Oryzias latipes: one gene and its partner. The protein of the gene in region 1 purifies or fractionates together with the protein of each later gene. This does not show direct contact. Links are inferred from orthologs where the notes say so. Each region holds a gene or a part of one and is shown on either strand. Other genes may lie near its edges.

The links. Proteins that work in one complex are often made in the same cells at the same time.
Region 2: the proteins of timm50 (region 1) and hdac6 purify together in Homo sapiens (affinity purification with mass spectrometry; 3 studies listed by BioGRID and IntAct, counting the BioPlex papers as one, with this or other methods). This does not show direct contact. The link is inferred for Oryzias latipes from reciprocal best matches to the Homo sapiens genes TIMM50 and HDAC6.

What each region holds. Positions count from the first base shown.
Region 1 is NC_019871.2:1,081,609-1,085,887, reverse strand, and holds the start of timm50 (mitochondrial import inner membrane translocase subunit TIM50), read left to right. Parts: upstream 1-1,368; 5' UTR 1,369-1,654; coding exon 1,655-1,864; intron 1,865-3,937; coding exon 3,938-4,088; intron 4,089-4,279. UniProt on the Homo sapiens protein: Essential component of the TIM23 complex, a complex that mediates the translocation of transit peptide-containing proteins across the mitochondrial inner membrane. Has some phosphatase activity in vitro; however such activity may not be relevant in vivo.
Region 2 is NC_019865.2:34,297,376-34,301,025, forward strand, and holds part of hdac6 (histone deacetylase 6), read right to left. Parts: intron 1,848-3,650; coding exon 1,780-1,847; intron 1,703-1,779; coding exon 1,555-1,702; intron 1,461-1,554; coding exon 1,332-1,460; intron 1,263-1,331; coding exon 1,094-1,262; intron 1-1,093.

The sequences.
Region 1 (4,279 bases):
TGTTTTTTGAAGCTGTAATTAATTTTCAATATTGCTGCAGTTCAAGTTTGAACACAAAGAAATCAGGTTTTTTATTGGAAAATTTGCTTTTGTGTATATTTAGCCATAAATCATACCATGTTTACAGAAAAGAAAGCATCACGGTCTTTGACATCAAAGCTATGAAAACCAAAAAGTATGTTTTTATAATAAAGTTGTATGTCAGCAAAAATAGAATCGGTCATAAATTTATGAATGTTTTTCCAAAATCTGTATGTGAATTCACAGACCAGAATAAATGAGAGCAGGTTTCAGGTTGTTTGTGACAGAAAGTACAACTGATGTTTATGTCAGCCTGAAATTTAGTCAAGTAATGCTTTGCTGGATAAAATCTGTGTAGGAGTTTAAAAGAGATTTCTTCGACTTTATTTGTTAAGAAGTATTTTTGCGGTAAAGATCAGACTTTTTTCTATCCAATGTTCGAGGTGAAATTAGCCCAAAGGTAGCTGATGGAACAGAAACTAAATGATCTTGAAACAAAGCTCTGCTTTTTGAGTTCAACTGTTTAGCGGAAGTGAAGCAGAAACGACCAGAGGGGATTTGAACGCATCAGGAGGATGGAGAGTCAGAGGAGGAGCGCTGTAGAAACCCCTGAATAACATGCAAAGCCCAGACGGGACGGCATCAAACACAACTGTAAATTCTTTGGGGGTTATTGGTATTTCATACTGCATTGTGAACTCTGAGTTATTCAGTTATTCCAGATAATACAAGTCTGTGGAGAAAAGTTGTGTTTGTAGATCAGAGCCCAGGCTAAGAGAACCTGTTGATGAAAATTTGACAGTTTCAAAGGGATTTTTGGAATACTGTAGTTACAGCATAGCAGAAAGTCCGGCTTCTCTTTATTACCAGAACCGAACTGCTCCAACATACAGAGTATAACAGCGCCTCCTTCAGGTCACTAATAACAGGTACAGGTACAAAGCAGGTGGTATCTCCCGAGTCATACCATTTGTCAACAGGATGAGTGAGGATACATTGTCCAGGTTGATGTCCGTGCTCGTTAACGTGGATGAAAACTACTAATAACATATCAACATGCATGTGGTTCCTCCGTCCACCGGTCATAGCAGGAGTGTCTAGTATCTACCATTCTGGAGTAACTTCCTCCATATGGGGCATCAACACTTCTGTTTGGAACCTAAATCAGGACAAAGTTACACAAGGGGCCGGGTCACCATCTGGTGGACAAACTGGAAGATGGAACAAACTTTGTATAAATAGGAGCAGTAAGTTGCTATTGTTATTATTGAATTTTTACCATTATAAAAACCAAATAATATATCTTTGTATACCAGATCACATTTTTTTTATTTGACATTAATAATAATACATGTATTTATTTAAAACATTGTACAAAGGAGGTGAAGTCTTCTCTTTCCTCCTCTCAGCATCAAACCCCCGACACTTTAGTGTTGTAATCGAAGGTCAGACTACTGCTTGTAGCTGATTGGTCCGATCACTTTAAGCCCCGCCTTTTGTGTCTCAATAAAGTTTTCCCGTCCTCTGATTGGACGTCACATCTACCAGTCAAGTGGCTCAGAACCAATCAGGAGCGTTTGTCCTTTTGACTCGCGTCACGCACGCTGGCCGGTCGCTAGCGCAAAAATCCAAGATGTCGACCGCGTCTGTGCTCCCCATGTGTGTCCGGACGGGTCGCGGCCTGCTGAGGCTCCGCAGCGGGACTGCGGGAGCCGCCGCCCCGGCAGTGCTGCACGTCATCCGGACGCTCTCCTCGGAGAAGCCGCCGGCCGGGGCGGGCGGCGCGACGGGCGGCCTGGCTCAGGCGATCCTCCAGGAGAGACTGCAGCAGCAGCAGAGTCAGGTGAGGTGCGCTTGATTTACGACTTCGCAGCTGATCTTTTTGAAGCGAGCACCGACGTTTGTGATGGAGATACAGAAGCACCGCCCTTGTAAGCTGCCAGTATAAGCGAATGAAACATAAACTTGAATTGACAGTTAGCTTAAATGTTGTTGTTTTCTATTCTGTCTGGTCATAAATCCGAGTCAGTCTTTTGTAGTATTTAGTTTTAAGTCTCCGCCCGCGTCACTTCGGTCCGCGTGACGTATTGTAAGTGGACTCGGCGTGAGAGCTTCAGGACCTGAATGAATGAACTCCACGTTAACGAGCTAACGCACGAGCTCCCGGTCACTCTCTGGCTAGCTAAACCGGCGGGTACCGGATCCAGTAGAGCGCCCCAGAACCATCAAGGGGGTGTCGGGTCGGGGTGGTGTTGATGTTGTCGCTCGGTTCTGTCTGCCAGATAAAAAACATGAAGGTTTGTTTGGTTTTGAAGGTCGGTGCAGATCCCCGCCCTCCTCAACCTCCTGCGGCTCCTGCCTGCATTCATTTCAAACATCCCTGTCACGGCCAGGGCCGGAGCGGGGTTACAGGGGGGCTGGGGCAGAGTCCCTCCCCCCACCCCAAAAAGAGTTGATGCAAACTAGAACTGGATTCGCTAAAGACATAAACACACCAGCAGCCAAAATATACAGAAGAAAATAAATTAGCTGTAAAAATAAAACAAATGACTAAAGTAGTTTGAAAGAAGGAAGTCTGGTTAAATCGTGTCCCAGAACCACATAAATGGGTTAAAATCTGCTTTAGGAAATGAATGATAAATACAATGTTTTTAATAAATAATGACCAAATGTTGAGGAAGACCTGCTGAACTCTGACATAAATCCAGTCTCTAGGTCAAGGGTCGGAAACCTGAACCTCTCAAAGAGTCGATTGGATCAGTTTCCCACGGAGATGAAAGCACAGGGAGCCGCAACACTAGGGGTGTTAGAAAAAATGGTTTTTGGCCGATATATTTTGGGATAGTTCATTTGGTGATACTTGTATTGATTCAAAATGCTGTCAGGATATTTATTTAAGTATTTAATCATTTATGAGCGTGACGTTTCCTTTGATCTTTTGTCCATTTTCACAACCTTGAATAGACTTTTCTGTCTGTCAAACACCAGAGTTAAGAAGATGGAAACAGATTCACTTTGATGCAGACTCCTTTGTATTTATTTATTTAAATCCAGTAAACGATACATTATATTAATTTAAGGATGACATTTATGTTTTATTAGGAAGCAGCTGTTAGTTTGTTGCAGGTCTGGAATGCTAAGCGGTGGGTCTAAGCCCCGCCCCCATCTGTCGACCTGTTCACACCTCTGTAGCTCTGAGTTGTTTTCGCCTGCGTGCACCCCCCCCCAGCGTGTTCTGCACAGACAGCCCAACATGCGGTCGTCACAGCAGCACGTTGACGGGATAGTGGGGGCGTCCTAACGCAGATGGGAGGAGTTTTTATGCAGAAATGAGTCGTTTTAGTCCAGGAAATAAAACTGGCTTCTTTTTCCATATGCCCCCTACGATAGCGCCACAGCTGCAGACACGCCCCCTCCGCACGTTCACGCTGCTCTCTTCCTCCTGCCCGCTCGCCCTAAAGGCACCACGACAATCTCAGAACATGATAGTTATTTTACAAAACCACAGAGACCCACATGCAGCTCAGGGAGGTCGCAGGGCGGCGACCCCTGGACTGGACGGTCAGAGTCGACCTGCCGTTGTTCTTCACCGCCGGGCGGTTCTGGAGCGTCTCTGAGAACTGCCCTTTGCTCCCAAATGCTGCAGCAGGCGTCAGAAGGGGCGGTTAGAACAGAACTTTCAGCTTTTCTCGTCTTTGGGCTGCTAGCTCAAAGCCTAAAAGGAGCGGTCTTTATCACCGGGGTTGTATGCGGCGCCCGAAGGAACCGTGTCGGTGAGGATTGGCGAGGCTGAAGCAGTCGGCGTTCAGAGATGCTGAACTTCCCTGATGGTCGTGCTGCGTTCACATGCTGCAGGAAACGGCAGCTGCAGATGTGATGGATGAAACCTTGATGTGTGTGAACTGTGTTGGACCAGGGCCAGCCCCCACCTCCTCCCCCAGAGGGCGAGAAGGAGGGAGAGCGGGCGGAGGACAAGAAGGAGAACACCGCCTACGCCAAGAAGATGGTTCTGCGCTTGGCGGGCCTCATGGGGCTGGGCGGGGCTGTCAGCATCGTCTACATCTTCGGTGAGTGCTGTCAGTCAAAGTCAGAAGTGTTTTCTGTGATCAGCTTCACAAACGCAACAACCTGCAGAATCCCACTTCCTGCTCCTCGGTTTGGTCTTTGTGCTAACATCTGGATTATAACCATCATCATCACTGATTTGCCATCTTTTGAAAATACTGTAGAGTTTTAAAAAATACACTTCAACCTAATT
Region 2 (3,650 bases), on another chromosome or scaffold:
ATATACACACATATATAGAAATGCATCAAATGTTGATGACTCCACCTTTTTTAACACACTGTCAGCTCAATCTGGCCCAACGTTTGTCACTGGAGGAGATTTCAACCTGGTTCTAGACCCTGAACTCGACAGACTAAGTTCAGCGGGGAAACAGCAAAGCTCGTACTCAGCCGGAACTCTCAGGCAGTGTATGGTTGAAGTGGGTTTCTGCGATACTTGGCGCCTTGTCACCAAAACACCAAAGATTTCACCTTATTTTCTCCTGTTCACCATGCTTACACCTGGTTAGTTAGTAATTTTTTTCAACAAACTCAGCAGGTAGCCGTGCACTGGCACTTGTAATCCGGCAGCTGCAGGCGCATAGTTACATATTGTACAGCAGCCGCCAAGGTTTTTAGCAAAGGTTTTAATTAAACAGCAGCTGGACGATTTTCTTGACATTGGTCAGCCACCACCCTGGCACATTTCAAGGTAGTGCTGTGGTAGTCCAGTTCCCTCTAATTTTTCACATGTCTGTGCTTATGCACAAGCTTCTTGAGCACACTGAGCAAAATTAAACCAATAAATATTTCTCTTCCATTCAATCATCCCACTATACTTTACTCTGCTGCCTGCTTCCAACTGACGCCAATCTCCAATACACACTCTCTGATAACTAACAACTCACTCACAGATAATATGAAGACTTTTACATGGAAAATTTTGAAGAATGTAAGACATTTTAAAAAGAAAAATCAAAGTTTAAGAGCCCAGAGTCAATACTTTGATAGTTGAATGGTTACTGTAGTTGAATATCTTCTTAACATTTTAGGCTTTGTAGAACTCAAAGCTTTTATTTGAATTTGGGGGATTTGAAGGTTTCGCAAGTCATTTTCAAAGGAGTTAAAAAAGTAGTAGTTGGTTGAAAAGCTTAAAAAGTTAAAGAGTTATGAAGTTAAAAGTTTTGAGAGCCCATAGCTATTTATTTTTGCAGTCCCAAAATAGGTAAAGACCCCCAAAATCAGAGACTGCAAACCTGTTCCCTAACCTCGCCTGTAATGTAGTCTATTGGAAGCCTTGTCCTGTAACATATCAGCTACCTGTCAGGTTTTACCTGTCCGTTTAACATATGCTCCACAGCAGCAAAGCAGCTTCCAGCAGCTAGCTGGGCGGACTGGAAGCTCTGATTGCTGATGAAGATGGAGACAAACTCATCCCCCAGCCTGTGAAGGTCTCTGGGCTTCATGGTTGCCGTTGCACTCATCTGTTGGATATGCTGCAAACTGGACAAACACACAGGGTCAGCAAGGTTAATAATGGTGGGGGGTGTCTTATTTGTGGCACCTCCTTACCTGTGACACATAGCCAGCTCCTCCTCTGTTGCCAAGCGACTCTGTATTAGCTGGCAGCGGTCGACTAATCCCAGCTGCTGGTGCCTAGAGAATATCTTGAAGATCCTTTGCGGCTGCTCTGGGTGGTGTCTAAGACATGTCATCAAATAACCACATTTACAGCTGCACCTTTATAGCTTCACCTTTACACCAACATACTCACTCACTTCAGCACAAAGCTCACCTGTCCCACAAATTTACGTGCTCCATCATTCTCTCATCATAGACCAAGCCTGTGATAGTGGCAGCAGCAAGGGCAGGGGCCACAGTTGTTGTGCTTGTGTGACCTGAAACTGTCTTGGTTGAGTCAGCCTCAGCGGAGGAAGTTCCCTCTGTGCAGACAACAGGGAGTTTAATGGAAAGCAGCAAAACTCTGGCTGTGTGCAATGCACATATGAGTGTTTGTTACCCAAAACTTGGAGGAAGGCCCAGTGAACGTACAGTGCAGAGATGGTTTGAGAGATAGAATGCATGGCGCTGAGAGACAGAAAGTTCAAATCAGGAAAGACCGGTGAATTAAACTACAGTCGTGGCCAAAGGTTTTGAGAATTACATAAATATTAGAAATTGGAAAGGTTGCTTCTTAAGTTTTTATAATAGCAATTTGCATATACTCAAGAATGTTATGAAGAGTGATCAGATGAATTGCAATGTCCTTCTTCGCCATGAAATTAACTTAATCCTGAAAAACAACTTTCCACTGCTTTCATTGCCGTCTTTAAAGAACCTGTGAAGATCATTTCAGTAATCGTCTTGTTAACTCAGGAGAGAATGTTGAAGATCATGGTGTCAGGCAGACTGGGTTAGAATGGCAGACTTGACATGTTAAAAGAAGGGTGATGCTTGAAATCATTGATCTTCCATTGGTAACCATGGTAACCTGCAAAGAAACGTGTGCAGCCATCACTGTATTGCATAAAAATGGCTTCATATGCGGGGATATTGTGGCAACTAAGATTGCACCAAAATCGAACATTTATAAGATCATCAAGAACTTCCAGGGAAGAGGTTCAATTCTTGTTAAGAAGGCTTCAGGGCGTCTAGGAAAGTCCAGCAAGCGCCAGGATGGTCTCCTAAAGAGGATTCAGCTGTGGGGTCAGAGTGCCACCAGTGCAGAGCTGCTCAGGAACGGCAGCAGGCAGGTGTGAGCGCATCTGCACACACAGTGAGGCCAAGACTTTAGGAGGAGGGCCTGGTGTCAAGAAGGACAGCAAAGAAGCCACTTCTCTCCAAAAAAAAACCCCATCAGGGACAGATTGATCTCCTGCAAAGAGTATGGTGAATGGACTGCTGAGGACTGGGGCAAAGTCATATTCTCCCATGAAGCCTCTTTCTGATTGTTTGGGAATCTGGAAAAAGGCTTGTCCGGAGAAGAAAAGGTGAGCGCTACCATCAGTCCTGTGTGACGCCAACAGTAAAGCATCCTGAGACCATTCATGTGTGGGGTTGTTTCCCATCCAGGGGAGGGGGCTCACTCACAATTCAGCCCCAAAACACAGGCATGAATAAAGAATAGTACCAAAACACCCTCCAACAATAACTTCTTCCAACAACAGTTTGGTGACAAACATGCATTTTCCAGAACCATGGAGCACCGGGCCATAAGGCTAAAGTGATAACTAAGTGGCTCTGGGACCAAAACATTGAAATTTTGGGTCTATGGCCTGGAAAATCCTCAGATCTTAATCCATTTGAGAACTTGTGGTCAATCCTCAAGAGGCTGGTGGACAAACAAAAACCCACTTATTCCGACAAACTCCAAGAAGTGATTCTGAAAGAAAGGGTTACTATCAGTCAGGAAGTTGATAGAGAGCATGTCCAGTGGAACTGCAGAGGTTCTGAAAAAGAAGGGCCAACACTGCAAATACTGACTTTTTGCATAAATGTCATGTAATTGTCAATAAAAGCACAGAAACAACTGAAACAAAGATCTAAAAACAGTTTTGCAGCAAACTTTGTGAAAACTAATATTTGTTTCATCCTCAAAACTTTTAACCCTTGTTCTATCTTAGATGACCCCCCCCTTCCATTGACGTGTTCTCCCTACCATGACAAAGGTGGATAAAGGTGGAAAGATTTCATGTAATCCATGGACACCAGTGTCATTGAAGAAAAAAGGTTCAGAGCACTGTCTAGTGGGTCTAGATGACCCAACTCCCAACGTTAAAGTGCCTAGGATAGCACAAGGGTTAACCCATTACTGTAGAACAGCAGATAATCTGACCCAGATGCTGATATATTCAACCATGATGCACTTCAATCTTGATGTTTAGAGTTTCA